Linked DNA regions of Anolis sagrei. The protein of the gene in region 3 binds, or shares a complex with, the protein of the main gene of each other region. Links are inferred from orthologs where the notes say so. Each region holds a gene or a part of one and is shown on either strand. Other genes may lie near its edges. The genes, in order: POLA2, PRIM1, PRIM2 and POLA1.

What was found.
Region 1: PRIM2 (region 3) and POLA2 share a complex: the UniProt entries of both Homo sapiens proteins name them as parts of the alpha DNA polymerase complex. The link is inferred for Anolis sagrei from reciprocal best matches to the Homo sapiens genes PRIM2 and POLA2.
Region 2: the proteins of PRIM2 (region 3) and PRIM1 are in contact, whole or in part, in a crystal structure (PDB 5EXR), measured with the Homo sapiens proteins. The link is inferred for Anolis sagrei from reciprocal best matches to the Homo sapiens genes PRIM2 and PRIM1. Residues at the interface, in NP_000938.2 of Homo sapiens: Glu165, Ala168, Ser169, Pro171, Ser172, Phe188, Ala189, Leu192, Phe195, Arg196, Gly197, Arg198, Val200, Tyr201, Leu202, Glu203, Asp204, Gly205, Phe206; in NP_000937.1 of Homo sapiens: Lys147, Glu148, Asp149, Phe150, Gly151, Phe152, Ala180, Val181, Gly184, Ile185, Glu187, Tyr188, Ser190, Leu191, Lys193, Lys207, Ile208, His209, Pro210, Ile212, Arg213.
Region 4: the proteins of PRIM2 (region 3) and POLA1 are in contact, whole or in part, in a cryo-EM structure (PDB 8G9F), measured with the Xenopus laevis proteins. The link is inferred for Anolis sagrei from reciprocal best matches to the Homo sapiens genes PRIM2 and POLA1. Residues at the interface, in XP_018121015.1 of Xenopus laevis: Pro34, Pro35, Thr36, Glu37, Asn38, Ile39, Ser40, Leu41, Ile42, Phe44, Glu45, Ile49, Ile107, Phe110, Ile111, Leu114, Cys117, Gln118, Ser119, Glu120, Asp121, Arg123, Ala240, Arg241, Leu243, Val245, Val246, Gln247, Arg251, Leu252; in NP_001082055.1 of Xenopus laevis: Leu842, Lys853, Ile894, Pro895, Glu896, Leu971, His974, Arg977, Glu978, Leu981, His982, Glu985, Gln988, Lys989, Asn991, Glu993, Asn1007, Asn1009, Arg1101, Asp1102, Glu1106, Gln1109, Glu1221, Asp1224, Gly1225, Asp1227, Ala1229, Leu1230, Met1233, Trp1234.

Annotation. Positions count from the first base shown.
Region 1 is NC_090032.1:10,785,374-10,793,020, forward strand, and holds the start of POLA2 (DNA polymerase alpha subunit B), read right to left. Parts: upstream 3,012-7,647; 5' UTR 2,967-3,011; coding exon 2,870-2,966; intron 1-2,869. Other genes in the region: CAPN1 (calpain-1 catalytic subunit), read right to left, coding at 5,820-5,846. UniProt on the Homo sapiens protein: Accessory subunit of the DNA polymerase alpha complex (also known as the alpha DNA polymerase-primase complex) which plays an essential role in the initiation of DNA synthesis.
Region 2 is NC_090022.1:137,140,683-137,147,656, forward strand, and holds the start of PRIM1 (DNA primase small subunit), read left to right. Parts: upstream 1-3,963; 5' UTR 3,964-4,010; coding exon 4,011-4,113; intron 4,114-5,549; coding exon 5,550-5,707; intron 5,708-6,974. UniProt on the Homo sapiens protein: Catalytic subunit of the DNA primase complex and component of the DNA polymerase alpha complex (also known as the alpha DNA polymerase-primase complex - primosome/replisome) which play an essential role in the initiation of DNA synthesis.
Region 3 is NC_090021.1:118,613,111-118,620,418, reverse strand, and holds the start of PRIM2 (DNA primase large subunit), read left to right. Parts: upstream 1-4,304; 5' UTR 4,305-4,548; intron 4,549-7,308. UniProt on the Homo sapiens protein: Regulatory subunit of the DNA primase complex and component of the DNA polymerase alpha complex (also known as the alpha DNA polymerase-primase complex) which play an essential role in the initiation of DNA synthesis.
Region 4 is NC_090023.1:86,499,197-86,506,146, forward strand, and holds the start of POLA1 (DNA polymerase alpha catalytic subunit), read right to left. Parts: upstream 3,006-6,950; 5' UTR 2,847-3,005; coding exon 2,801-2,846; intron 1-2,800. UniProt on the Homo sapiens protein: Catalytic subunit of the DNA polymerase alpha complex (also known as the alpha DNA polymerase-primase complex) which plays an essential role in the initiation of DNA synthesis.

The DNA.
Region 1 (7,647 bases), on a different chromosome or scaffold from region 3:
TATCTATCTATATCTATGGCTGGATGGGTCTTTGTCAGGAGGGCTTTGATTACATTTTCTGGCCCTGGTGAAGGGAGTTTGTCTGGGTGGGCTTAAGTATTTTCTGTTGGTTATGGGGTTTCATTGTGGGAAGTTTGCCCCTATACAATATATTATATTATTACCATAGCACAATATTATTATATACTAGCCACCCACTTCCACGCGTTGCTGTGGCCCACATGGAGGTTCTGTGTGGGAGGCTTGGCCCAATTCTATCGTTCGTGAGGTTCAGGATGCTTTGTGATTGTAGGTGAACTATAAATCCCAGCAACTACAACTCACAAATGTCAACATTCTGTTTTCCCCAAACTCCACCAGTGTTTACATTTGGGCATATTGTGTATTTATGTAGAGTTTGGTCCAGATCCATCACTGTTTGAGTCCACAGTGATCTCTGGATGTAGGTGAACTACAACTCTAAAACTAAAGGACACTGCCTGCCAAACCCTTCCAGTATTTTCTGTTGGTCATGGGAGAACTGTGTGCCAAGTTTGGTTCAATTTCATCATTGGTGGGGTTATATATAGTGGTCCCCTGCCACGCATTGCTGTGGCCCAGTCTGCTGATCTGGAAAATAAAGTAATGAGAAAGTGTTGGTTTCTAATATATGTAATGTCTTGATGCTTGTGGGTAAAACAGTATTTCTTGCTGTTTCTTTGCCAGTGTTGATGTGGAGAGTGTCTGGTTTACCCACGCTGGAACATGCAACATATCATTGCCCTTCTTTAGGGGTCCCTTTCAAATCTTTGATACTGCATCTGTCATATACTTATATGTGTGTGTGTGTGAATAGCTGGATGGCCCTTTGTCAGGAGGGCTTTGATTATGTTTTCTTGCCCTGGTGAAGGGAGCTGGACTGGATGGCCTTAAGGCAGCCTTTCTCAACCTGGGAAGTCAAGATCCCAGGGGAGGGTCACCAGGGGAGTGTCAGAAGGGTCACCAAGGACCACCAGAAAACAAAATTTTCTGTTGGTCATGGGGGTTGTGTGGGATGTTTGGCCCAATTCCATTGTTGGTGGGGTTCACAATGCTCCTTGATTGTAGGTGAACTATAAATCCCAGTAAGTACAACTCCCAAATATCAAGGTCTATTTCCCTCAAACTCCATCTGTGATTATATATTTGGGCATATTGAGTATTCGTGCCATACACACATATATGTATATGACAGATGCAGTATCAAAGATTTGGTCCAGATCCATCATTGTTTGAGTCCACAGTGCTTTCTGGATGTAAGTGAACTACAACTCCAAAACTCAAGGTCAATGCCCACCAAACCCTTCCAGTGTTTTCTGTTGGTCAGGGGAGTTCTGTGCGCCAAGTTTGGTTCAATTCCATTGTTGTTGGAGTTCAGGATGCTCTTTAATTGTAGGTGAACTATAAATCCCAACAACTACAACTCCCAAATGACAAAATCCTAATTTTTTGAGTGATGGTCACTCCTTGTGTTGTGAGACGTTTTGTTGCCAAATTTGGTGTGATTTTGTTCATTGGTTCTTTTGTTTTTAAGGTACTCATTATGCACAGAACATTTATATATATAGAGATATTGCATTGTACTATAACATTATACTGTAATATTATTAGTAATATTACATGTAATATAAAATATATAATTATAATATCATTTTAGTAGTATCATAGAATCCTAGAGTTGGAAGAGACCTCCTGGGCCATCCATTCCAACCCCATTCTGCCAAGAAGCAGGAATATTGCATTCAAATCACCCCTGACAGATGGCCATCCAGCCTCTGTTTAAAAGCTTCCAAAGAAGGAGCCTCCACCACACTCCGGGGCAGAGAGTTCCACTGCTGAACGGCTCTCACAGTCAGGAAGTTCTTCCTCATGTTCAGATGGAATCTCCTCTCTTGTAGTTTGAAGCCATTGTTCCGCGTCCTAGTCTCCAAGGAAGCAGAAAACAAGCTAGTAGTAGTAGTAGTATATTGTATTACATTGTAATATTATCAGTATTATATGTATATATAATATATTGATGCCTATATGGGACTGAGGATCCTGGAACATGCAGTTCTATCCCTTGATATTTTATTCATGGATGTTTTCCCATCAACAACACAAGATGCCCATTTGATCAAGCAACAACAACACAAGATTCAATGGACAATGAGGGGGAAAAAACTGTGATGCAGCAGCTAAAGAGGCCAAGGCGATTCTAGGCTGTATCAATAGGAATGTGGTATCCAAATTGAGTCACAGGCGAACAATTCAAGAGAGGTACTGACAAGCTGGAATGTGTCCAGAGAAGGGCGACTAAAATGATAAAAGGTCTGGAGAACAAGCCCTATGAGGAGCGGCTTAGGGAACTGGGCATGTTTAACCTGAAGAAGAGAAGGCTGAGAGGAGATATGATAGCCATGTATAAATATGTGAGAGGAAGCCACAGGGAGGAGGGAGCAAGCTTGTTTTCTGCTTCCCTGGAGACTAGGACGCAAGGGAACAATGGCTTCAAACTACAAGAGAGGAGATTCCATCTGAACATTAGGAAGAACTTCCTGACTGTGAGAGCCGTTCAGCAGTGGAACTCTCTGCCCCGGAGTGTGGTGGAGGCTCCTCCTTTGGAAGCTTTTAAGCAGAGGCCGGATGGCCATTTGTCAGGGGTGATTTGAATGCAATATTCCTGCTTCTTGGCAGAATGGGGTTGGACTGGATGGCCCATGAGGTCTCTTCCAACTCTTTGATTCTGGGATTCTATGATTCTATTAACTCTATTCTGCTTGGGTCAGGCCTCAGCTAGAATACTGAGCCACAACTGAGTTAAAGCGGTGTCAAACTGCGTTAACTTTACAGTGGGGATGCAGCCACTTACACTTCCCGGCCAGAGCGCCTTCGTCTTCCCCTTCGGCGACGTCAAGGCCGAAGACCTTCAGCTCGGCCACCACAGCCTCCAAAGCTGGAGACTCCATTGCTTCTGGTCGCCCTTTTTTTCCCGCCACCTTTGGAGGGGAAAGCCACGCCCCTAATCACCTTATATGGAAAAGGAGGCGGAGTAAGCTCCTTGTGAGTGGCTGCTAAGGCCTTGAATGGGCGTGGCCTAGGGTGAGTCAACGCTCCAATGAGAGAACTTCTATGCAAAGTATGCCTAGTCTTCCGGGTTTTGTGGACACCCACTCGAGTGGGCGTGGCCAAGTGCGTGCCAACGCTCCAATGGGAGCACTTCTATGCAAAGTAGGTCTGTTCTTCCGGGTTTTGTGGACTTCCACTCGAATGGGCGTGGCTTAAGGAGAGCCAACGCTCCAATGGGAGCACTTCTATGCAAATGAAGTCTGGTCTTCCGGGTTTTGTGGACTTCAGCTCGAGTGGGCGTGGCCTAGGGCGAGCCAACGCTCCAATGGCAGGACTTCTATGCAAAGTAGGTCTGTTCTTCCGGGTTTTGTGGACTTCCACTCGAGTGGGCGTGGCTTAAGGAGAGCCAACGCTCCAATGGGAAGACTTCTATGTAAAGTATGTCTGATCTTCCGGCTTTTGTGGACTTTAGCTCAAATGGGCGTGGCCTAGGGCGAGCCAACTCTCCAATGGGAGGACTTCTATGCAAATTAAGTCTGTTCAGCGCCTTCCAAGTTGCCCAGTCCTCTGTGTGCCCAGGGGGGAGTTGCTCATTTGCTATCAGCCATTGGTTGAGGTTCTGGGTTTGAACCTGCCACTTTTGGACTCTCGCTTGCTGAGGTGTTCCAGCGAGTGTCTCTGTAGATCATAGAAAACTACAGAGACGAAATGATTTGCTTTTACTAATGTGTTATGGTCTTAATTGATATGTAAATGCTTTTAAATGTTTTAAATGTTTTAATGATGTTGGCATTTAATTGTTGCCTTGTGAACTGCCTCAAGTCGCCTGCGGGCTGAGAGGGCCGGTATAAAAATGTAGCAAATAAATATACAAATAAATAAATAAATAAATGTGTCATTAACTTTCTTCGCTAATGATTTTAGGTGTCTTAATTAAGAAGTGTCTTATGTTCTGTACAATTATTTTAAAAATATCATTGTGTTAGAGACCCTAAATTGGGTCTTCTTAAGTCCACATCACGGGAACATGTAAGGAAGGAGACAGTCCCAAAAAAAGATCAAAAAACAAGGTTTAGTTTCTTCATGAAGAAGACGGACAGCCTGGCAGCATACGCAGATGCTACCCTTCCAGTGACTGCCGCACCCCTCCTCTTTTTCTGCTGACTTTTATACTCAAGTAATAGGTCATGGAAAGTACTCTCTTTCCAGCCCCTCTCCGTTGACCTTTTGATGAAAAGTACCTTCTTGTACCTGCAGACTCTGCACTTAACCACAACCGTTGAACTTAACCATAACACAACTTCCGACTTCTACATGTTGCATCTTGTTTCTTAAAAATATTTTCTTCCCTGTTGCTCCTTTTCCACAGAGAAAGGGTATGTTTATCTTTTGCTGTTAATTTCATTCAAAGCCCTTTGCTTAGCATTTGCAAATTTCACTCAAAGACCCTTTCAATTGAACTGGAACTCTCAAGCATCCAGCAAGAAAAACAAAACAAAACAAAGAAACAATATTTTAAAAAAAGCGTAAGTCATAAAAACCAAAAAGGATTTTTGTCGTAGCAACTTTATTCCTTTATTTACTTTGGCAATAAAATATGTCTTTTTTTTTTACTACAATATAAAACAGAGAAAAACAATCAAAAGGAAGAAGATAAAACAGTAGTACCCAGGATGAGGATGTAAAAATGAATCTCAAGAATGGATCCTCCGATAGGATCGAGCAACAACTTTTCGTCTCGGACAAAAAGCGCCCCGTTTTGGCATTCTAAAAGCAACCCGAAGACCCCCCAAAGGGCATCTATGCATCCCCATAACAAGCAGAGAGAGATGTAAGTATGCTTTTGGGCTCCAAATTCCTCAATCGGAAGAGGACATAAAGCATCAGCAAGCACTAATATGCTTCTGGAAAAAATAAAGTGTATATCGATATATATTTGCACGCACACGTATACAGGAAATGACACACTTTTGTATTTGCACCATTGCTTTTCGGGTAGAAGGGAGAAGATAAGACTAGATCAGGCTTGGGCAAACTTGGGCCCTCCAGGTGTTTTGGACTACAACTCCCACAATTCCTAACAGCCTACCGGCTGTTAGGAATTGTGGGAGTTGGAGTCCAAAACACCTGGAGGGCCCAAGTTTGCCCAGGCCTGAATTTCCTGTAAATAGGGGAATTTCCTGTAAATATGGCAAAGCGTGGGAAAGTGTTCCAAGGGTCCAAGTTGGCATGGAGAGTGTCTTTATATGTATATATATTTGCATATTTATATATTCTCCTCTTCTCCTTTAATAGCACAAAAGATGAAAGCAAGCTCATCTCATGCTTAAGGGCAGGAGAAAATCCAAACTGACGAACCAAAGGATGACCGTCTTCCAAAATATGAAGCCGACGTTGTCTTCGGTCCCGTTACCATGGCACGTAATGGAGAAAGACGGTGTCGCGTGGTTCCTTGGCGTCGGAGAGCAGGAAGCGGTTCCGTGAAGCGGGGTGGCTCCCGAGGTCACGCGTGTCCAGGCACAGGTGGTGGGCGTTGCAAAGGCAATGTGTGCGGAGTGCGTGTGTTTGAGTGTAAGCGAGGGCCCTCCCTCCTTTGCGGGAAGAAGTGGCAGCAAAATAAGAGAGAAATCAAAGGCAACAAGCCATCCCATTGTGACGCAAGGCACTTGCAGGTACAAAAATAATAATAAGAAAAGGTGTCCAAAGAGGAGGAAGGCCAGGCAGCCGTGCGGGGTTGGCTCCGTTATCTTCTTTCAGGCAAACATGGTTAGCTGTATCCACTGGAAGAGAGAAAAAGGAGGAAAGACACGTCCATTACAAAACTCTAATGATGTTTAATTGTGTTTTAATGTTTATATATCTGGAGATTTTTAATCAGACTGAAATGCTGCTTTGAGTCTCCATGTGGAGAAAAAAAGCAGAGTATTAATAATAATCTATATAAATAAAAAACGTAATGGGTTGTTGTAGGTTTTTCCGGGCTATATGGCCATGTTCTGGAGGCAATTTTTCTCCTGACGTTTCGCCTGCATCTATGGCAAGCATCCTCAGAGGTAGTGAGGTCTGTTGGAAGTAGGAAAAATGGGTTTATATATCTGTGGAATGACCAGGGTAATGTTTCAGCTGATCACCTTGATTTGCATTCAATGGCCTGGAAGCGCCTGGGGGGAATCTCTTGTTGAGAGTGAATTGATGTGCCTGATTATTTGAGAACACAGAAGTGCTGGACCACTCTCACAACCACCATGTCAGACTACACAAAGAAGCCATTGAAATCCACAAGCATGTGGACAATTTCAACAGAAAGGAGGAAACCATGAAGATGAACAAAATCTCTCGCGAGCCGCTCGCTCGCCCCTCTCTCGAGCCGCTCGCTCGCCCCTCTCGCGAGCCGCTCGCTCGCCCCTCTCGCGAGCTGCTCGCTCGCCCCTCTCCCTTCCAAGGAAAAGTAAGCTCGCCCTCTCAGCAAGCATCGGCAGGCGGCCATCTTAAGTATTTCCGAAATGGACGGAAATACAAAATTTTTTGGCGCCTGCCGTTTCAATATTTAAAAACTTTTCCAGGTTAAAAAAAATGTTTTGTTATCGTTTCGTAATTCAAAAATTAACGAAATTTTTAACGAATTACGAATTAACGAAACGAATGGCCCAGCCCTAGTTGATATTGATGTGTTATTATCCTGTATATTATGTTGTTTAATGGGTTTTTAAATTTTTTATGCCTGTTGGATTGACTTTTTTGCTCTTGTTGTGAACCGCGTTGAGTCGCCTACGGGCTGAGAAACTGCGGTATACAAGCAAAGTAAATAAATAAATAAATAAATAAATAAAAGATATAAACAGATATACACACACACAAAACACATATACACAGACTCGGCCACAGCACCGCATGGCAGGGGATGGCTAGTAGTAGTAATAATAATAATAATAATAATAATAATAATGTATTGTCGAAGGCTTTCATGGCCGGAATCACTCAGTTCTTGTGGGTTTTTTTCGGGCTATATGGCCATGTTCCAGAGGCATTTCTCCTGACGTTTCGCCTGCATCTATGGCAAGCTTCCTCAGAGGTGAGGTCACCTCTGAGGAAGCTTGCCATAGATGCAGGCGAAACGTCAGGAGAAATGCCTCTGGAACATGGCCATATAGCCCGAAAAAACCCACAAGAACTGAATAATAATAATAATAATAATAATAATAATAATCGGTCGCTTGAGTTTTCCGGGTTGTATGGCCATGTTTCAGAAGCATTCTCTCCTAACGTTTTTCCCACATCTATGGCAGGCCTCCTCAGAGGTTGTGAGGCCCATTGGAAACTAGGCAAGTGGGGTTGATATGTCTGTGGAATGTCCAGGGTGGGAGAACGAACTTGTCAGTTTGAGAGAAGTGTGAATGTTGCAATTGGCCAGCTTGATTAGCATTTAATAGCCTGGCAGTTTCAAAGCCTGTCTGCTTCCTGCCGGGTTGAATTCTTTGTTGGGAGGTTTTATTTGGCCATGATTGTTTCCTGTCTAAACCCCACTTACCTAGTTTCCAACAGACCTCATGACCGCTGAGGATGCCTGACATACTCGCAGCA
Region 2 (6,974 bases), on a different chromosome or scaffold from region 3:
CTGCGGGAATCCTTTGTTGGGAGGTGATTAGCTGGCCCTAATTGATTCTTGTCTGGAATTTCTCTGTTTAGAGTATTGTTCTTTCTTTACTGTCCTACTTTTAGAGTTTTTCAATACTGGTAGCCAGATTTTCCTCATTTTCATGGTTTCCTCCTTTCTATTTAAATTGTCCACATGCTTGTGGATTTCAATGTCGTCTCTCAAAGAAAACTCACAGCAACCTAGTCTAGAGTTGCATGACTGATTTTGGGGTTTTTTTTAATAGTTAGTACAAGGCAGGCCACGTTGTAGAAAAGTCACCTTGTTAGCTGGGGATTTCTGAAAGTTCCAATCCAAAAATTGTAACTTTTCCAAAAGGTGAATCAGTACTGGAACATGGCAGCTAAAAATAATTATTAAAGCTCCTCCTGATCCGATGCCTCAATCCCAATCAGATTTTGGAGTTCCTCAAGTAGTGAGTATATGCTTAACAAAAAACAGAAGCAGCAGCCTCCCAAATGTTTCTTTTAGTCCCCAGTAAACATGGACAGCACTCGTTAATATTTGGATGGGAGACCACCAACAAATACTGTATGCTCTATTTCAGAGGAAAGAACTGACAAAAACACCTCTTGAGCATTCCTTGCCTAAAAAACCCTATGAAGTTCAGCAGGCAACTTGCACATACACACAGGGCACATCTACACTGTAGAATTAATGGATGCGGTTTTCACAGACAACACACAATGACATATATATGAGTATTCTTACACATGTTCATAACATTCCGGATTTATAGACATGTGCAAGAATCCTAAGGCGTTCTACTTCTAGTTCTACTGAAGACCTAAGAGCCCACTCAACGTCTATGGAAAATGGACGAGTGTAAAAAATGAATCTTTAAAGGCTTTGCATACCTCAGAATTCACTTCCCTTGTGACTGTCCAGCTGTTTGAAGTGGGACCATCTGCAAGTTAAAAAAGGCGTATGTAGTATATAAATAACCTTTAAAAACCATCCCACCCTACATTTGTATAGGGACTTGGGATAGGCTGCAAGTCAACAAATACTTGGTTCTTTTGCAAGTGCAGGTGAAAGTCCAAAGCATTGGCTGTATCAGCACCCTGCCCGCTCTGGCCAAGATCCAACTCTTTCCCCTCTATTGATTTAACTCCCCTGGTGATTGTGTGCAAGGACAGTAACTGTGTTGCTTGGCAGCTCCTTGAGGCCAAGTCTCCCGATTGCTTCACACTGCCGACTGAACCAGAATTAGTCCAAAGTTTATTTTGCAAATATTCATCTCCAGTTGCAATCACGGTGCATGACTAGGGACTGTCAAAAATGTCCCCAACTCATTAGAAATGTGAGGAAAAAATGGTCTAGCTTCCTATTTTATGATTGCCACTTTTTTTTTTTCAGAATGTTACTATTTTGTATATTCTTCCAGGGAAACAGCATGGTGGAGGTACTTGAGGACTGGACTCGCTCAGCCATGAAAACCCACTGAGTGACCTTGGGGAAGCGGAAATGTCCTTTTGGAGTTTTGTTATACAGCAGAAGGGACAAATGCTAGACACACATGCTAAAATTTTAAAAACCCAACTTCAGTAGTCTTCGGGAGAACGTGAGTATGATTCCATGATCAGGAATGCTACAGGAGTTCTTATCAAAGGATAGGAATTTGAGAAAAGTGAGATATCGGGTGACACAATCTCAAACAGTTGCAATTAGGAGGAAAAATAGGTGTCTAAAGCAGACCCGCACAATATATTATTATTATTATTATTATTATTATTATTATTATTATTATTATTAGATACATCACACAGTCCTAGACATCAAATACAAAAGCCAGCATACTGATTTGTTTAATACAAGATTAGTACACAGCAAGCAAGGTCACTATGCTGGCTGCTGTATTGGATCACATGTCGGACACTTCTCGAGTGTCTAGCACTGTGTGATGTATCGGCGAATAATGCAAGCAGATCCAGGTAGGATGGCCTTTTGCAGCTGACAGTTGGGAATTTTGCCTGGGCCAATTGTTTTGAAGTGCAGGCCAAGATTTTTAGACATTGCACCCAGTGTGCTCATCACCACTAGGACCACCTTTACTGGCTTGTGCCAGAGCATTTGCAGTTCGATCTTTAAATCTTCATATCATGTAAGCCTTTCCAGTTGCTTCTCGTCAACTCTGCTGTCACCTGGGATTGCAACATCGATGATCCATACTTTCTTTTTTCTATGATTGTAAGATCAGGAGTATTGTGCTCCAAAATTCTGTTTGAATTCAGAAGTCTCAGAGTAGTTTGACATGTTCATTTTGTGTAACTTTTTCAAGCTTGTGGTCCCACCAGTTTTTTTGTCGTAGCCAGGTGGTATTTATGGTACAAATTATTTATTATTTATTTATTTGAAACATTTATATTCCACCCTTCTCACCCCAAAGGGGACTCAGGGCGGAGCACAACATATATATGGCACGCATTCTGTGCCAGAACATAAAATATCTATAAATATATACAACACTAATATCAGTGGCTCCGGTCAGTGGAGTGCTTTCCTATTATTGCCTTATTCCATTATCCCAAAGTTCCAGTGGATCATCTGAGCAATGGTATTATGCCTCTGCTTATAATCAATCTGTCTGCGCGATCTTCTGTGTATGTGATCCATCGTTTCGTCTGCTTCCTTGCAGAGTCTACATTTGGAATCTGTCGTCGACTTTTAGATTCTGGCTGTGATGGCATTGGTTGTAATGGCTTGTTCTTGGGCTGCCAGAATCAGGCCCTTGGCCTCCTTTTTCAAAGTACCACTTGTGAGCCACAACCATGTTTTTTCTTTGTCAATTTTGCTCTCAATTTTTCAAAGGAACTGTCCATGGAGAGCCTTCTTTTGCCAGTTTTCTCTTCTGTTCTGCATTGTATTTTTATGGTATTCACTCTTTGTCTTTTGTACTTGAAGCAGTTTTCTACTATTGACTTCCATCAATGTTGGTGCTTGACTGCCTTTCACATAATTAGTGTGTGTTTCTCTTCTTCTACTGTTTCACTTGCAGAAGCCCTCTGCCTCCTAATATTTTGGGCAGGTAAAGTCTGTCAACACCGTCATTATTTGATACACAACAAGATTAGCAACCAGCAAACAAAATCACTATGCTGACTTTTGTATTTGATCACATGTCGGACACTTCCCAAGTGTCTAGGACTGTGTGATGTATCAGTGAACAATGTGGGCAGATCCAAGTAGGGTGGCCTTTTGCAGCTGACAGATGGTAATTTTGTCAGTGCTGATTGTGTTTAAGTGCAGGCCAGGGTCTTTAGGCACTGGGACTACCTTTACTAGCTTGTGACAGAGTCTTTGCAATTCGATCTTTAAATCCTCATATCGTGTACTCTTTTCCAGTTGCTTCTCATCAATTATTGTTGTTGTTGTTATTTATACCCTGCTTTTTCTCTACAAGGTGACTCAAAGTGGCTTACATTAGCATTTCAATACGACTGAAAATCTACAAATATACACATTGTGCTTTTAATTATTGTTTTTCAAGATGAATATCACATCAATACAGAGGTTGTGGTATGGTTAGTTCTATTTTAATAAGTCACTCTCAAGCAACTGGCATCTACAAATCCGACAGGTGCCGCTTAACTGAGGCTTGTGATCAAATACTAGCCTTATAATCCAGTTTAAGAATGTGGATTATCTGCATTGAACAGTATTAGATCAGTCTACACTGCCCTACAATCCAGATCTATGCACTTAATCCACATTCTAAAACTGAATTAGAGGCCAATGTAGGCCTGACCTATATTGTATTTCGGAGGGAGCTGTAAAGTGCTTCTAAAACCGACCACTAGAGGGCCTCCAAAGCCACGTGGGAACCCTTAAGTCTCGCGGGGACTACAATACCCACAATGTTTTGGGGATTGCGTCAGGGAAGGCGGGGGCGATTCTGATTGGCTCTCCGAGCTGTAGGGGGCGGGGCCCTGCATTTTCCCGCGCGATTCCCTCCTTCCTTGCGAGGGATCATGGCAGAGTTTGACTCGGGCGCTTTGCCGGACTTGCTGCCCCTTTATTACCGCCGCCTCTTCCCCTTCGGCCTTTATGGACGGTGGCTGCGCTACGGCGACGGTGAGGCCTTTGGTCCGGGCAAAGGGGGGAGACTGCAGCCTGCCAACGAAAGTGCCTCTGAGCATGTACAGAAATCGGCTATGTCCAAGGATGCATCTACACCAGGCGTGGGAAAACTTGGGCCCTCCAGGTGTTTTGGACTCCAACTCCCACCATTCCTAACAGCTTCAGGCCCTTTCCTTTTCCCCCTCAGCCGCTTAAGGGGCCTAAGGGTGTTAGGAATGGTGGGAGTTGGAGTCCAAAACAACTGGAGGACCAAAGGCTTTGCAGCCAAAAAGGCTCCACAGAAATGGCACTACAAGGCAAACATTGATGACATCTGGCAATGTAGAAGTTACTGGGGAGATACAAACTTAGCTTTTGGTCCTTTAATCTAGAACAGGGAAATTCCAGCTGTTCCGATAACTCAAAGAATCCTAGAGTTGGAAAAGACACCAAGGGCCATCCAGTCCAATCCCATTCTATCATTCAGAAACACAATCAAACCCCTCCCGACAGATCAGCCTCTGCTTAAAAACCTCCAGAGAAAGAGGCTCCACCAATCTCTAGTAGCATATTTCACTGCTGAACAGCTCTTATTGTCAGGAAATTTAGGGGTGGGGTTGTCTATTTGAATTTATAGCTCTGCATTAGGTTCTCAGGGGCAACTGTCACAGAATCCTGGGATTTGTAGTTTGGTGAGGCACCATCACTCTAGTAGAGAAGGTTAAACGCCTTGTAAAACTACAACTCCTAGGATTCCATAGCATTAAGCCATGGAGCCCCCCAGTGGCACAGCAGGTTAAACCTGCTGAATTTGCTGACCAAAAGGTTGGTGGTTCATATGTGGAGAGCAGGGTGAGCTCCCGCTATTATCCCCAGCTTCTGACAACATAATTTGAAAACATGCAAATGTGAGTAGATCAATAGGTTCCGCTTCTGTGGAAGGTAAGGGTGTGCCTTGCAGTCATGCTGGCCACATGACTTTGGAGGTGTCTACAGACAACTCCAGCTCTTTGGGTTTGAAACAGAGATGAGCACCACTCCCAGAGTCGGACACAAGAAGACTTAATGTCAAGGGGAAACCTTTACTTTTAAAGTGGTGTCAAGTTGCATCAACTCTAGAGTGTGGGTGAACCCTAGGAGAAGAGATGCCAAATGTGGCTGGCCTTCCGTCAGGGCTGGTGGAATGGGCTTGGTTTCCTTACCTGCCACCCTCTGCAGATTACGTGCATCAATTGTTACCACACAGCAGAACTAGAAAATATAGCACTTTCAGCATGCTCAATGAACTTTATCTATATCTTGTATTCTTACAGCAGTTTGTGAGAGTATTTCTCTGTTATTTCTCAGCATTTTGCCAAAGGCTATCATAGAAGTTTATGAAAGAACGGATGTTCAATGGAAGAACTTCTTCACTGTTTTTATATATAACTAAGTCTTCTTCTTTCTTTTAGTGATGAAAAATTACTTTCAGCGGCGAGAGTTTTCATTCACGCTCCGCGATGATATCTATGTGCGGTACCAATCTTTCAACACACCCCAAGAACTGGAGAAAGAGATACAGAAAATGTGTCCGTACAAAATTGACATTGGAGCCGTGTATTCACACAAGGTATTGAAAATGGTGGTAGAGTAATAGAAACAGTGGTTGTATAGAAAGGATCTCTGAAAAGGATTTTAACCTATCCCTTTTCTTTATGGTAGATGAATGCTGTCAGGAACTATTTCTATATACTAGATTTCCACATTTTCTTGTAAAATGCCACTAGAGTGTGAATTGTACTCAAACTTTTGCCATTGCCTGAGTATTTTTATAGTTCAAGTATGTGCATTTTTCGAACTCATCTTGTCTTCTAAAGCTCAAATGCCTTTTTCCTCAAGAGACACAGGCAATTCCCAGCTTGCCTCTACTTTACTTCTGTAAGTTTCCTTTTCTATAGTTTTAATATATTCATGTGGCCAAAATAGCATCGCCTTCCCCCATAAAGGCAGCCTGAGCCAGCTTATGAACCCCAATGTTCACAAACTATTATGCTGACTGGCAATGGCAAAGCAGAGAATCTGTTTGAGAAGGGATTCAATGGAGTATCATGGCAAATGGAACAGCTGACGCAATCACTTTGCCTTGTAATGTTTTGTTGCAAGGGCCACAGATACCATAATGATGCCTGATACTACCATCAGTGATACATTGTGCAATGATCTATTGTCTCACTAACTACCCAAAGCCAAACATGACAGATAGAGGGCTGGATGTGTATTTGGGGATGAGTGGGACACTTGGAACTACATCTATGAAACCTGGGAAAATACAGCTGCTTGCTTAATGATGTGTATAGTAACATACCATTCACAGATTGTCTCCTCCTTGATATTCTTGCTAGGATGCTAGAGTTGGGTGATTGGTTTGAACAAACAGAACATGCCATTTGGACTGTTTGTTGTTTTCATGCAGACGTAGAAGAATATAGCAGAGAAAGCAGACACCTTTCTTCTAATGTTGCTCAAAGGCCTAGTTGTGATAGAAAAATAGGGAACTCCCTTATACCAGATCTGACTATACCTAGGCCAGTCTTGTTTTCTCTGCATGTCAATGACTTTCAAGGGTTTCAAACACATGGACTTCCCATCACCTGTTATCTGATTCATTTGACAGGAAATGCAGGGGATTGAGCGCTGCAGGCCTCTGTCAGTAAAACATGCTATCTTGTTGAGGTTGAATATATCTTATCTCCAAAAGAGACACAATAGACATGTAGCAAAGTGCTCAACACTAACTATTGGGTCTACAGCCCAGAAGTGGCTGTATCCAACCATTGAGGCATTCCATTCTACACACAATTATTCACTGAAATATCACCTGCCTAGTAATCAGAAGA
Region 3 (7,308 bases):
CAACCCCCAGGATCTCATAGCATTGCGCTGTAACAGTTTAAATAGTGTCAGACTGCATTACCCTTACAGCATAGATTCAGCTGTGGAAATGAAGGAGTAGCGATAGGTAGGTAGCTACAGTTCCTGTGGCAGGTGGTTAAAGCTTCTTCTGAACTAAACAACATCAGTGCAAACCTGCAAAAGCACCAGATTGCAAAGGTGGGCTTAAGCTAGATAATGATTTTCACCTCTGTTGTCCACATAGAGTGCATTATGGAAAGTACATAATGCAAACATAGTAAACCATAGCTGTCCTGTAGATTAATAACTCTCACTGCAATGTGGAATCAATCTAGCCAATCTGACAGTCGATTTAATAACAAGAATTCTTCAAGAAATCATACTGGGAAAGGAAAACCACTGCTTCATTTTAAACACCTAATGGTGCATTATTCTAGTTCTAATATAGCAATGTAGTGTTAAATAAACAAAGTGCTCTTGTAACTGTTGTTGTTACCTAGTCATAAGAAAAATGGTTTAGTGCTTCTCAAGTTTTTTTGCATCTGCTTTTCTACAGTCTATTTAAACTCTACATTCCTTTTTTATTTTTTATTAAAAAAACTAATTTGTGTGAACTTGGCATCACACAAACTGATTATTTCTGTAGTGCATTGAAGAATGCTGCTATTACTTCAAAGTGAACAGGGCTTGCTTAAAATGTACCAGCAATAATTAACCTCAGTAATTATTTCTATTAATAGAAGTAAAGAATGCATTTTCCTATCTACAGATCACCATTACCATTACAGTGTGTGTACTATTCCAAAATATAACTTCAAGGATTGAGTAAAGAACTATTATTTATCAAGTGGCAAATTCATCAGGACTTTTGGCTGCTACAACAAAGTAAACTGGCAAATTGCCACAGGACTCTTGGATTACTGGAAAAGGAAGAAAGTTAATGGCTGGCAATGCAAATAAAATAAAACAAAACATTGCTCTTGCCTTTTCAAGACCCTTGAAGAAACAAAACAAATGTAAATAAAAAAGCAAAAGCCTAACTGCCTGTGTTGTCTGTAGACACCTCCAAGGTCATGTAGCTAGTATGAGTGCATAGAGTGCTGGTACTTTCCTGCTGGAGTGGTACCTATTGGTCAACTCACACTGGCATGTTTTCAAAGTGCTAGGTTGGCAGGAGCTGGGGCTAACAGTGGGAGCTCACCCCACTCCCCAGATTTGAACCGCCAGCCTTTTGGTCAGCAAGTTCAGCAGCTCAGTGGTTTAACCTGCTGCGCCACCAGGGACTCCCAGTGTTTTAAGTGTAACTCCAGCTCTCTCTCTCTCTCTCTCTCTCTATATATATAAACACACACACACACACATTTGTTAGAGCTGAATAGTATAGGGAAGGGTTAACTTCCCCATGGTGTTTCTTTTGCTGTCTATGCCCCTGTTCAGAAGATTCCACCTCACATTCTGTCACTGTGAAAATTGGATTTTGGAAAATGTCGCATGTTGTGGAAACAAGGATTGGTGGTAAAGTTTCAGTGGAGACATCTTTTCCCGTGATAATAACTTTTCCAGGAATGAATTTCCCTTCAGATTTCTCCCACTTCCTGTCTCATCCTTGTTATTAACTATGAGTTGTTTGGAAGTTGGATGTTTGTAACTTGGGAACTGCTTGTAAATAATGGCTTATGACCAGTGTAGCTTGAATGCGGTTTGACACCAGTTTTGCTGCCAGTGCTCATTCCTGTGGAATCATGGGATTTCTACTTTGGTGAAGGACCAGCATGATTTGGCTAAGAAAACTAAAGATGATGTAAAATGGCAGCTTCTTTGATTCCATAGCATTGAATGAAAGTGGTATCAACCCCAATTAAATCTACAGTGTAGACGCACCCAAAGACAGTTTGATACAGTGAAGCAGAATGGTTTTATTGATATATCAGAGTCACATGGCATTAATACTTCAAATATGGTAAGATGCCATGATTGTGATGGAACGCCCAAGCCTTTTGGGAAAAACTATAGTGTCTGGCTTTACTTGGGGGATATCGGTACACCTTCTGTTAAGATTAAGAGCCTTAGGAGACAGAGGCACTTTAGGCAAGGTGATAAGATAACCAAAATGAGTTTATTGCAAACAAGATGAATAAAGTGTTAACTCCAGATGAGACTATCATAAGGTAACTTAAAATGATATATTACAAAAGAAGCCTTTCCTGGCTCTGGAGTCTTTGAAAGTTTCCTGCCTCTGGTGCAAAGCGATGGTTATAAACTGACTCAATCTTCTTTCTTGTGAACCATGAGTTGGTCATAAGTTTCTGTTGTCCTTTGGACAGATGGTGTAAAAATACTGCTGAATGCAGGTACTAAGGGTGCCTGTTTTTGGATTGCTAGGCCTAGGGTTACTAGACAATCCCAAGCCTAAGTCACAGTAGCTCTGCTGTAGAAAAGAAGGAGGAGTTCAGCAAGAGAGCTCTGTACAGGGAAATGGAACAGACTAACTAAGGCTGGCCTCTGGGGAGGTGTTATGCTCCACCCAAAAACTAATACAAAGGAAGGCATCTACAGTATTGGGAAAATCTATGAACAGGGGGAACTAAAGCAGAGGAGAGGAGAAGGCAAGACATCACAGTGCTCATATTTATACACACTTCATTTATTTCTTGTGAAGCATGAGCTGGTCATGAGCTTCTGTTGTCCTTTGGCCCCCAACTTAGCAGCCTTCAAGAAAAATCTGAAAACTTGGCTATTCTGATGTGCCTTCAAAGAGTGACCATTTATTCCATCTCTGTCTGCTCCATCCATAGTGGTGTCCCCGTCCTAAACTGGAATAACATAATTTTTATAATTTTTTTTATCCTACCTCATCCAGGGTTTTATCATTTTACCTTGTCCATTTGGCCTGCCCATTTTGTTTGTTTTTATGTTGTGTTAATTTGCTTTATAGATGTTATTTTTGTTACTGCATGTATTTTATTCTGATGTACTTTATGTTGTCTGTAGTGTGTATTTTAGTTTTGCTGTATTTGTACCTTTGGGCTTGGCCTCATGTTAGCAGCCCCGAGTCCTCTTCGGGGAGATGGTGGTGGGGTATAAATAAAGATGATGATGATTATTTGGACTGCTGGTATAAAAATACTGCTGAATGCAGGTACTAAGGGTACCTGTTTTTGGATTGCTAGACCTAGGGTTACCAGACAATCCCAAGCCTAACTCACAATAGCTCTGCTGTAGAGGAGTCCAGCAAAGAGCACTATACAGGGAAATGGAATAGACCAACAAAGGCTGTCCTCTGGGGGGATATTAAGCTCCACCCAAAACTAACACAAAGGAAGGCATCTACACTATTGGGGAAACCTATGAACGGGGGAACTGAAGCAGAGGAGGGGAAAAGGCAGAGCCAAGTCTTCACACGGATGATGTTTGTGATACTATGCATGCCTTCTCCTACATCAAAGGATTTACACACAAGTAAACTTAGGGAAGAAGAGGAGGAGGAGGAGGAGGGAAAGAAAGGGAAAGAGAACAAACCTTGGGGCAGAAAGAGGAGCTTCTCTTAGTGACACGACCTCCATGCCATTCCTTGCAAATCCCAAGGCCTGGCTTAAGCCTAGCGCTTCAGTCAAAGAGACGGTTAATACTTACCGAGGGAAACGACTTCCAACTACTGCTTGTGCCTGCTAAGTCTTTTTCTTATTGCCATTAACGTAATGGAATTAGTTTTCTAACACGACCATCAAATGGGCGCAAAAAATGCATCCAGAAGGAACTGACCACATAAAACGCGAAGGAAAACATCTGTCCACCTTTTCCCAATGGGAGCCGGAAGTGGAGGCTGTACGCAGCGCTCACCTGATGCGCTTACCTCTATAGCCTCAGGGCGCGAGAACAGCCCTGCCTCCGCCGCTGGCCAAGGCCCTCCACTCCGACCCTCAGGTCCGCCTACTTCCGGCCTCGTGGGTTCCTTCCTGTCATTGCGTTCGCGTCGCCGTGGCAACCCAGAGATGCCGGCGGAAGAAGTCGGAGAGAAAGGGGCGGGGTCAAAACGAGGCTCCCAGGGAGGGAGGAGAGAGCTACGTCACGGGTAGAAAGGAGGGGAGGCGTTGCCGTGGCAACCCAGAGAAGCCGGCGGAAGAAGTTAGAAGGGGCGGGGTCAGAGCGAGGCGTTGAGGGGGGTAAGAGGCTACAGGCGGGAAGGGAAAGGTGTTGCTATGGCAACGTAGGAAAGTCGGCGGAAGAAGTTAGAGAGAAAGGGTGAGACAAGAGGAGGAAGCGAGCCTACGTCACTAGCAGAAGCGGGGGGGGGGGGAAGGACGTTGCCGTGGCAACCTAAAGAAGCCAAGTGGAAAGAGGAGGCGCTGCCTAAGCAGAGGAGGCCACGTCACGGGCAGAATGAAGGGAGGAGGCGTTGCCAAGGCAACTCGGAGAAGCCGGCGGAAGAAGACAGAAGGAAGAGGTGGGACCAGAACGAGGCGCCGAGCAGGAAGTGAGCTTACGTCACGAACAGGTGTTTTCGCGCGGGAAATTGGGATCTGACCCTCGCGCGCTGAAAAAGGGACAGTAAGTAACTTTTGGAAAGGTAGGCGGGCGCCAAAAAGGGAAGGAAGGGAGGGAGGGGGGTGCTGGTTTGGAGTTCCTTTCTTTTGGCCTTCCTTGTGTATATGTTTTCTCGAAAGGAAGACCTTCATTGAGGCCTGTGGGGCGTTCACCTTTTGCCACTGAGTATACACCCCCCAGTGAACTATATCTCCCTAAGTTCACAGCCATTTCTCCTATATATTGACAGACCCTTGGCTGCTCCTTCCTTCAGGGACTGACACAGGTACATCTTTGGAAACTACACCGTTGTTGTTCTTTGCCATACCTTTCCTTCCCTCTTTCTCTCTGCATCACTCCTAATTCTAGTTGTGCATTGCTCCCCTCTATCTAGACTCACATTTACCTTCTGCAGATCAGCTACTCTTCCTATATTAAGTTGTTAAATAAGAAGTAAGGGATGTGCAAAAGCATCATGGTCAAGGTAGGACATGCCGACTCCAGATAGTTGTACACCACTTTAACCAATCTCTTTAGCAGGACCTTACTGGCTTCATTGTTCTTTTTGTCACAACCATGTCTGTTATTCTTCCAGTTCGGTTGAGCTAAAACCCTGAAAATAAGAATAATAGCAATTAAGATTCTCAGCTAGAGAAGGACATACAAAATGCATGTTTATTTATTTACAACATTTATATCCCGCTTTTCTCACCCTGAAGGGGACACAATAGCTTACAAGTTATAAGTAAAGGTTTTCCCCTGACATTAAGTCCACTGGTGTCCGACTCTGGGGGTTGGTGCTCATCTCCATTTCTAAGCCAAAGAGCGGCATTGTCTGTAGACACCTCCAAGGTCATGTGCCCAGCATGACTGCATGGAGCTCCATTATATGTACATGCAATATATTATATTATTAGCTTAGCACAATATTAGTATTATGTATTACTATATTTTACTGTACCATTATATTGTAATATTATTAGTAATATTACATGTAATATGAAATATAAAATTATTATATTGTAGTATTATTACTATTGTATTACATCATAATATTATCAGTATTATATGTGTGTAGATTATTAACACAGCACAATATTAGTATTATATATTACTATATTGTACTATGTCACTATGCTGTAATATTATTAGTAATATTACATGTAATATAAAATATATAATTATATTGTAATATTGTTAGTATTATATTGTATTACATTATAATATTATAATATATTATATGTATACAATATATTATATTAGCCCAGCACAATATTAGTATTATATATTGCTATATTGTTACTGGGAGGAGGGACTCCCAACCGATGACTCAGGAGACATGGTGAGTCTTCCTGACTCCCCTCCTTCACTCTCCTGTTGAGATTAGTTTGTGGTTTTCTCCAAACTCTTTAACAGAATACTCTCAATAAAACACAGGAGATTGACCTGCCCTAAGTGTCCCAGTGGCATCAGATGTATTTATTATTTATTATTTATTTACTGTATTTATATACCGCCTTTCTCACCCCTGGGGGGACTCAATGCAGTTTACAACATGTTAATGGCAAAAATTCAATGCCAACATACAAGTAAAACAGGAAACCATAATAACTAACCACTACATATAACCAAGATTATGGCAAAAAGAATGATTGACAACTGGAAAATAGAGGGAGAAAATGTGGAGGCCATGACAGACTTTGTATTTCTAGGTGCAAAGATAGATGCAGACTGTGGCCAGGAAATCAGAAGACGCTTACTTCTTGGGAGGAGAGCAATGTCCAGTCTCGATAAAATAGTAAAGAGTAGAGACATCACACTGGCAACAAAGATGCGCCTAGTCAAAGCCATGGTATTCCCTGTAGTAACCTATGGATGTGAGAGCTGGACCTTAGGGAAGGCTGAGCGAAGGAAGATAGATGCTTTTGAGCTGTGGTGTTGGAGGAAAGTTCTGAGAGTGCCTTGGACTGCGAGAAGATCCAACCAGTCCATCCTCCAGGAAATAAAGCCCGACTGCTTACTGGAGGGAAGGATACTAGAGACAAAGTTGAAGTACTTTGGCCACATCATGAGGAGACAGCAAAGCCTAGAGAAGACAATTATGCTGGGGAAAGTGGAAGGTAAAAGGAAGAGGGGCCGACCAAGGGCAAGATGGATGGATGGCATCCTTGAAGTGACTGGACTGACCTTGAAGGAGCTGGGGGTGGTGACTGCCGACAGGGAGCTCTGGCGTGGGCTGGTCCATGAGGTCACGAAGAGTCGGAGACGACTGAAAAAATGAACAACATATAACTATGACTTAAAATCATTAAAACAATTAAACGTACAACATCAAACAAAATTTAAACATTAAAAGAAAGCATTAAAAACATCCAGGCATAAATATGAAGGTCACATCATCCAAAAATCCTACACCGTAGCTATTCTGATTGTCATTGCACATGTTCCTTAATTACTCTTTGCACTGCATAATTTTACTGGCCAAGACTTGGTCCCACAATCACGTCTTTGTTATCTTTCTAAAGGCATATCTGATCTTGAAGGCTAAACAGTGAATACCAGTTAATACCAGGTGCTATAGGCTGTATTAGAGGCCCCTTCCACACAGCTGAATAAAATCCCACATTTTCTGCTTTGAACTGGGATCTATGGTAGTGTGGACTCAGATAACCCAGTTCAAAGCAGATATTCTGAGTTATATGGCAGTGTAGAAAAGCCCTATGCCAGTCCAAGAGCTGCTGGAGTAAATCCCCTTCAATTCGTTTTGGGAAGCAAAAACACAAC
Region 4 (6,950 bases), on a different chromosome or scaffold from region 3:
ATTTATTAACAACAGAGAGCAGCTTCACACATTCTGTTGCTGACTGCTTCTGCCACAATTTCTCATTCAGTAATTCCCTCATAGTACTATTGTAGGATTGAGTGATACAACTATTAGATCAGTCTAGCTATGTTATCCTGTCAAGGGATTCAACAACTACTCTGTCATTACCCAGCTTATTTCTAGATGCTGGACATTTGGGGGACATTAAAAATGTAGCTCTTATCTCTACAGAATCATTCCCTGGAGTCATCAGAAACTGCATGGCATTTCTAGTGGTCTTTTCAATATCTCACTGAGAGTCATCAATCATTTTGATTAAAAATATTACATGATTTAATGTGTGTATCTTTGGTAACATTTATTTATTTATTTGGTACATTTGTATACCGCTAATATCTCAGCCTATACGGCGACTCATTTAAAAGAATAGAGCATTTAAGGCTTTGACGCTTGTACAATTATGTGTGTGCCTTCAAGTTGCCTGACTATTTATGCAACCTGCTTAATTCCATAGGGTCTTCTTAAGAAATAAATACTGTACTCAGAGGTGTTTTTGCCAGTTTCTGCCTCTGAAACATTGCCTACATCACCTGACAGAGATAAAGTATCACCTAACACAAATTCTTGGGACCAGAAATGTTTTGGATTTTGGATTTTTTCAGATGCTGGAATACCTGTTATTCACAAATATGTACATAATGAAATATTGCGGATAAGAGACTTAAGCCCAAACACAGAATTCATTTATATTTTACGCATACCTTATATACATAACCTGAAGGTAAAGTCATACAATATTTTTGATATCCATTTAAAAAGTCTGTGTACCATCAAAAAGCAAAGATGTCTCTGGCTCAGCTACTAATGTGGACAGTGCTGGAATATTTTGGAATTCCAGATAAGGGATGCTCAACCTCTATTCGTTAGCAGTCTCCCATCCAAGTCCTAACCTGATTGAGCCCATTTTGCTTCCAAGATTAGACAGGACCTTAACCCAGCAGGACTGAATTCCAATAAAAATGTCTATGATTGCACCAGCCCTTAAAGCATATTTCAGAAAAGATATGAAGACCTCAGGATAAAGGGATTCGAGAGTGAGGGGTCTCATTTATTTTCTTTGTTGCTGAGATTGTGGCGTTACACTCACTTATTTGGAAGTAAGCTCCAGTACAGTTAATGGGGACATAGAGAGAGATATATATACATACACAAAGAAAGGCAACGCTGTTAGCTGGGACTCAAGAAACAAGCAGAAATAGTTGTATACTTTAAATAAAAAATAAAATAAAATCAGCAGTTATAACCAGTTTTTATAATACAGTAAAGCTATGTTACTTAATGTGTCTTCAAAGGCTTTCATGGCCAGAATCACTGGGTTGCTGTGAGTTTTCCGGGCTGTACGGCCATGTTCTAGGAGCATTCTCTCCTGACGCTTGTACACATCTATGGCAATCATCCTCAGTGGTTGGGAGGTTTGATGGAAACTGGGCAATGAGGTTTATGTATCTGTGGAATGTCCAGGGTAGGAGAAAGAGCTCGTGTCTGCTTGAGGCAAGTATGAATGTTGCAATTGGTTATAACATTATAACATTCCACACACACACACACATATATATATAAACCTCACTTGAGATAGATACACCATGAAAACAAACACAATCTTGCTACTAGTATTGAAAAAAACTCCAAAATCAGGTAAGTAAACAATGAACACTAGAACACTAGGGAATTCCAGACAAGAAACAATCAGGGCCAGCAAATCACCTCCCAACAAAGGATTCCCCTAGGTAGTAACCAGCCAGGCTTTGAAGCTGCAAGGCCATTCAGTGCAAATAAAGGTGTCCAATTGCAACATTCACACTTGCATAAACAGACAAGAGCTCAATATACTGTCGAAGGCTTTCATGGCTGGAATCACTGGGTTGTTGTAGGGATTTTTTGGGCTATATGGCCATGTTCTAGAGGCATTCTCTCCTGACGTTTCGCCTGCATCTATAGCAAGCATCCTCAGAGGTTGTGAGGTCCTCTGAGGATGCTTGCCATAGATGCAGGTGAAACTTCAGGAGATAATGCCTCTAGAACATGGCCATATAGCCCGAAAAACCTACAACAACCCAGACATGAATTCTTTCTCCCACCCTGGACATCATTCCACAGATATATAAACCCCATTCGCGTAGTTTCCAACAGACCTCACAACCTTTGAGGGTGCTTGCCATAGGTTTGGGCGAAACGTCAGGAGAGAATGCTTCTGGATCATGGCCATACAGCCTGGAAAACTCACAGCAACCCTGTGTCACTTAAGCTTGTCTTTTAATTACTGTGTTTCCAATAGAAATATGAAGTCAATGCAAGGTTTGTGGCATGGGTATAGTATTAGGCCTATTTTTTAAATAATAACTCTGAAGCATCCAGAAACAACATTTATCCGACACATATGGATGCCGGTTAATTGAAAGTCTATTGTATACACATGTGTGTATGTGTGTGCACGCACACACAGGCTTGTATTGTGTGTTGCTTTCTCTCCTAAGAGAGAAAGGGCTTATTTATCCAGATCAGAAGCTTGCTCCGTTCAACTAGAGATGAAGGCTGCCACATTGCTGCCATTTTGTTTGAAACAGAACCCCCCTCCCCAATTTCGCAATGGTACTGGCCCCAGGTTCCCATTCAAACCCCTTTGTAAGAGCAGGCGCAACCACTCCGAACCGGAGGGGGGTTCTGACACTCCCTAGCTTCTCTCTTTTATTCGAACCCTCCATTCCAGCCCCCCTCCCTCCGCAAAACCCACTCTCACCTCCATGGCAACCGGCCCCGTTGCGCGCGCTCTCACTGCCCTCCATTGCAGCTCTCTCGCGCCAAAGCGCCTGAAAAGTGGCGCGAGAAAAAGAGACCCAAGTGCCCCGGCCAGGCGGCCAGCCAATCAGAAGCCGCGGTGACGATATCCGTCCTTCCCATTCCGCTTTGGGGTCGAGAAGAGGTTGAGCCTGTCAAAGCTACGGCTGAGGAGGAAAAAGCGTGCGCGCGGGTTGGTGGAACAGAAAATAAAACCACACCGCGTCGGCTTTATGTGTGGTTTTCAGTATTCCGAATGTAGCAAAAGGAGCGCGGGCGGGCCAGAAACAGGGAGGAGTGAAGTTTTTATATTTATTTATATCTTGCTTTCAGCTCTGGCAGTTAAAGTGGTGTCACACTGCATTAATTCTACAGTGTAGATGCACCCAAAGTAGTGTTCTAGGGTCCTCTTCACTCTGCTCACCCTTAAAAAAAATCAGAATGCTGTTTAGCTTAATATCTTTGAAGCATGAAGGAAACATGTTACAAAGTAATAGAAAAATACATTGAAATTTACTTAGGTAAAGGTAAAGGTTTTCCCCTGACATTAAGTCCCGTCGTGTCCGACTCTAGGGTGTGGTGCTCATCACCATTTCTAAGACACCTCCAAGGTCATGTGGCCAGCATGATTGCATGGAGCGCCATTACCTTCCAGCCAAAGCAGTACCTATTGATCTACTCACATTTGTATGTTTTCAAACTGCTAGGTTGGCAGAAGCTGGGCTGACAGCGGAAACTCACGCCGCTCCACAGATTCAAACCTGCAACCTCACGGTCAACAAGCTCAGCAGCTCAGCAGTTTAACTCACTGCACCACCGGGGGCTCCCTGAAAATAAAATAAAAACCATGACACCAAGAAATACACACACACATACACATAGGGATGTGTTATTGTGGGTCATAATCCAAAATCAGGAGGAGAACAAATTACGAAATAGCTTCATCCAATTCATTGGACCTTATAAAGCTCTTATAAATACAGGAAGCTGGAGCTGACAGACAGGAGCTCATCCAGCTCCTTGGATTCGAACCTTTCGGTTAGCAGTCTTGCCAACACAAGGGTTTAACCCAGGCATGGGCAAACTTGGGCCCTCCACGTCTTTTGGACTTCAACTCCCATAATTCCTAACATTCCTGAGGGATTTGAGGGCTTAAGGCTTCTAGGAATTGTGGGAGTTGGAGGATCAAAACACCTGGAGGGCCCAAGTTGTCCCATGCCTGGGTTAAATCCTTGTGTCAGCAGGACTGCTAAGGGAAAGGTTCGAATCCAAGGAGCATGGTGAGCTCCCATCTGTCGGCTCTATCTTGCCATGTGGGGCCATGAAAAAAGCCTCCCACAAGGATGGTAAAACATCCAGGCGTCCTCCTGCAACGTCCTTGCAGACGGCCAATTCTTTCACACCAGAAGCAACTTGCAGTTTCTCAAGTCCCTCCTGACATGAGGGGGAAAAGCTACTGTACCAGGTTTTGCCTTCCTTTTTCTGACCATATTTTGGCTGACAGAGCATCCAAAGTTCCCCTTGCAGGCTTCCTTGTGTGGAAAAAAATAAGACTTGCTCACTCAGCCGTAATAAATGCAGGAGAAAGTTTTGTCATTCACTCAGTGCCAGATTTTTGGCCCATGACACAGTTAAATTTTCAAACCGAAGCTGTTGCCATAGTTGCAGCACAACTTAAACAATAGCCTTTTCATCCTGGCCCAACACTTGCTGGTGCAGAAGGAAGCTCCCATTATCCCTTACTTGTTACTTCTTAATTTCAAATAAGTATGCTGGCTCTTTCTGATCTACAATGCCAAATAATATGTAGTAAGTTTTCCTTCCAAATGTGCATGGCCAAGAGGAGAACACCAGCCAGCAAACTGGGGTCATCCTTTTGTAAATAGCGTTATCTTCGGTGGATTATGTCTACACGATCTTTAAACTTTGTTGGGACCGTCATAGAGAACAACTTGGCACAACCTTTGTCCGCCTCTTTCAGTGAAAAAAAAAAAAGAAAATTGCTGGATTTTATCAAGTCACTTGGAGCAACTTAATATTCACCCATTTTCGAAAGCAACATTGGTGGAGAAGAAAAGGCAAACACTCCAGCAAGGATGGTGGGCCGTCAAAAACGCAAGATAGAAAAGGAAGCCACGTCTCCTAATTCCTACAAATGCCAGCGAAATGTGAGTTACACTTCTATTTTTTTTCCTATCACACATTATTATAAAACTATTACCACTAAATATGACTCTGTTTGTTTTATTTAAACTTTTATAAGCCATATTCTTAAAGAAAAGGGGCACGTGAAGGACTCCTGTAAAAGTGTGTAAAATTAAACAGTACAAAATGTAAAATAAAATAATTATCATTATAATAAAATATTACAAAATTAAATAAAAATAAAGCTTCGTTACTAGGGTGCCGTGGTTGTGCTGTGGTTTAAACCACTAAGCTGCAGAACTTTCTGATCGGAAGTTTGGTGGTTCAGATTTGTAGACAGGGTAAGCGCCCATTGTAAGCGCCAGTTTCTGCCTACCTAGCAGTTTGAAAACTTGCAAATGTGAGTAGATCAGTAGGTACCGCTTCGACAAGAAGGTAACAGCGCTCCATGGAGTCATGCTGGCCACATGACTTAGGAGGTGTCTACAAACAACTCCGACTCTTAGGCCTAGAAATTGAGATAATCGCCACCCCGCAAAGCCAGACACGAGTAGACTTAATGTCAAGGGGAAACCTTTACCTGTATCTTACTTAGCACTATGGCCCTACATCTCACAGAAGATGTATGGAATGCTTGAGATTATGGCTTCAGAACAGATACATAGTAAGAGACAACTGCATACATCGTTAGTTGATTGTAAATGTAACTTATAAAAGTTACTGAAAATAATAGGGGTGAGATCTCTCTTCTGGTTTGACAACACTTCTCAATAATAATAATAATAATAATAATAATAATAATAATAACAAAGCACTTTCTGCCTTCCTGCATGTAAGGCACAGTCAAAGCACTACTGAAAGATGGCCATCCATTCTTAATAATTATAATAATAATAATAAAGATAATAAATATAATAGTTTTAACCTGGAGAAGGAAAGAGGGGGGAAAGAGAGGAGGGGTGAGATCTCTCTTCTGGTTTGACAACACTTCTCAATAATTATTATTATTATTATTATTATTATAACAAACCACTTTCTGCCTTCCTGCATGTAAGGCACAGTCAAAGCACTACTGAAAGATGGCCATCCATTCTTAATAATTATAATAATAATAATAAATATAATAAATATAATAGTTTTAACCTGGAGAAGGAAAGAGGTTAGGCAGGCAACAGGCAGGTCTCTGAGTGCTGCACTGCTGTGTCTCTTTGCCCAATGCACGCAGGCCAGAGTGAGGAACGAGGTGAGGTGACGACAGGAGGAGAGGAGAATTTGATCCACTTAAGCAGAGGCCAGGGACCCGGAAGTGGGGTAAATGCTTGCAACCAGGGAGAGGGGAGGGAAACAACTATAAAACTTGCACCAGACATACGGAAATAATAACGAAACAATTACAAAACAATTACGAAATAGCTTTAAAAATTCGTTTCGTTTTTTAGTTGCTCCTGAATGGTTTGTTATCGCTTCGTTATCAAGAAAAATAACAAATTATTAACGAATTACGAAATTAACGAACGAAACCGCCCAGCCCTAGTAACTACCAGCAGGTCCAACCAAGCCAGAGAGGTCTCAGCTGTGGAGTGGAACCAAGAGCACCTAACCCATTAGCACTATGGAGAAGCAAACCAAAAACGAAGTCTATACTGGCTCGGTCGACGCCCAAGATAAACAGGACCGTGGTGGATGCTGCTGATTCTGGACATCCATTGACAAGTGGGCTAAAGAATCAAAATACAAATGAACCATCACAGAAGCGGCAGAAATATACAATGCCAGAAAACCGCACAGTTATGAAAGTTTACTATTATTATTATTCTGCCTCCATCGTCCACCTTTGCTGCTTTGTCCTGGGATTTTGCAGCCCCCCAGATGGGTTTTTTTATTTAAAAATCTTAAGATGTGAATATGCAAATCATTGTATAAGTTCCTGGGTTATACAGTCTGCCTGGCCATCTGTGCAGACAGAT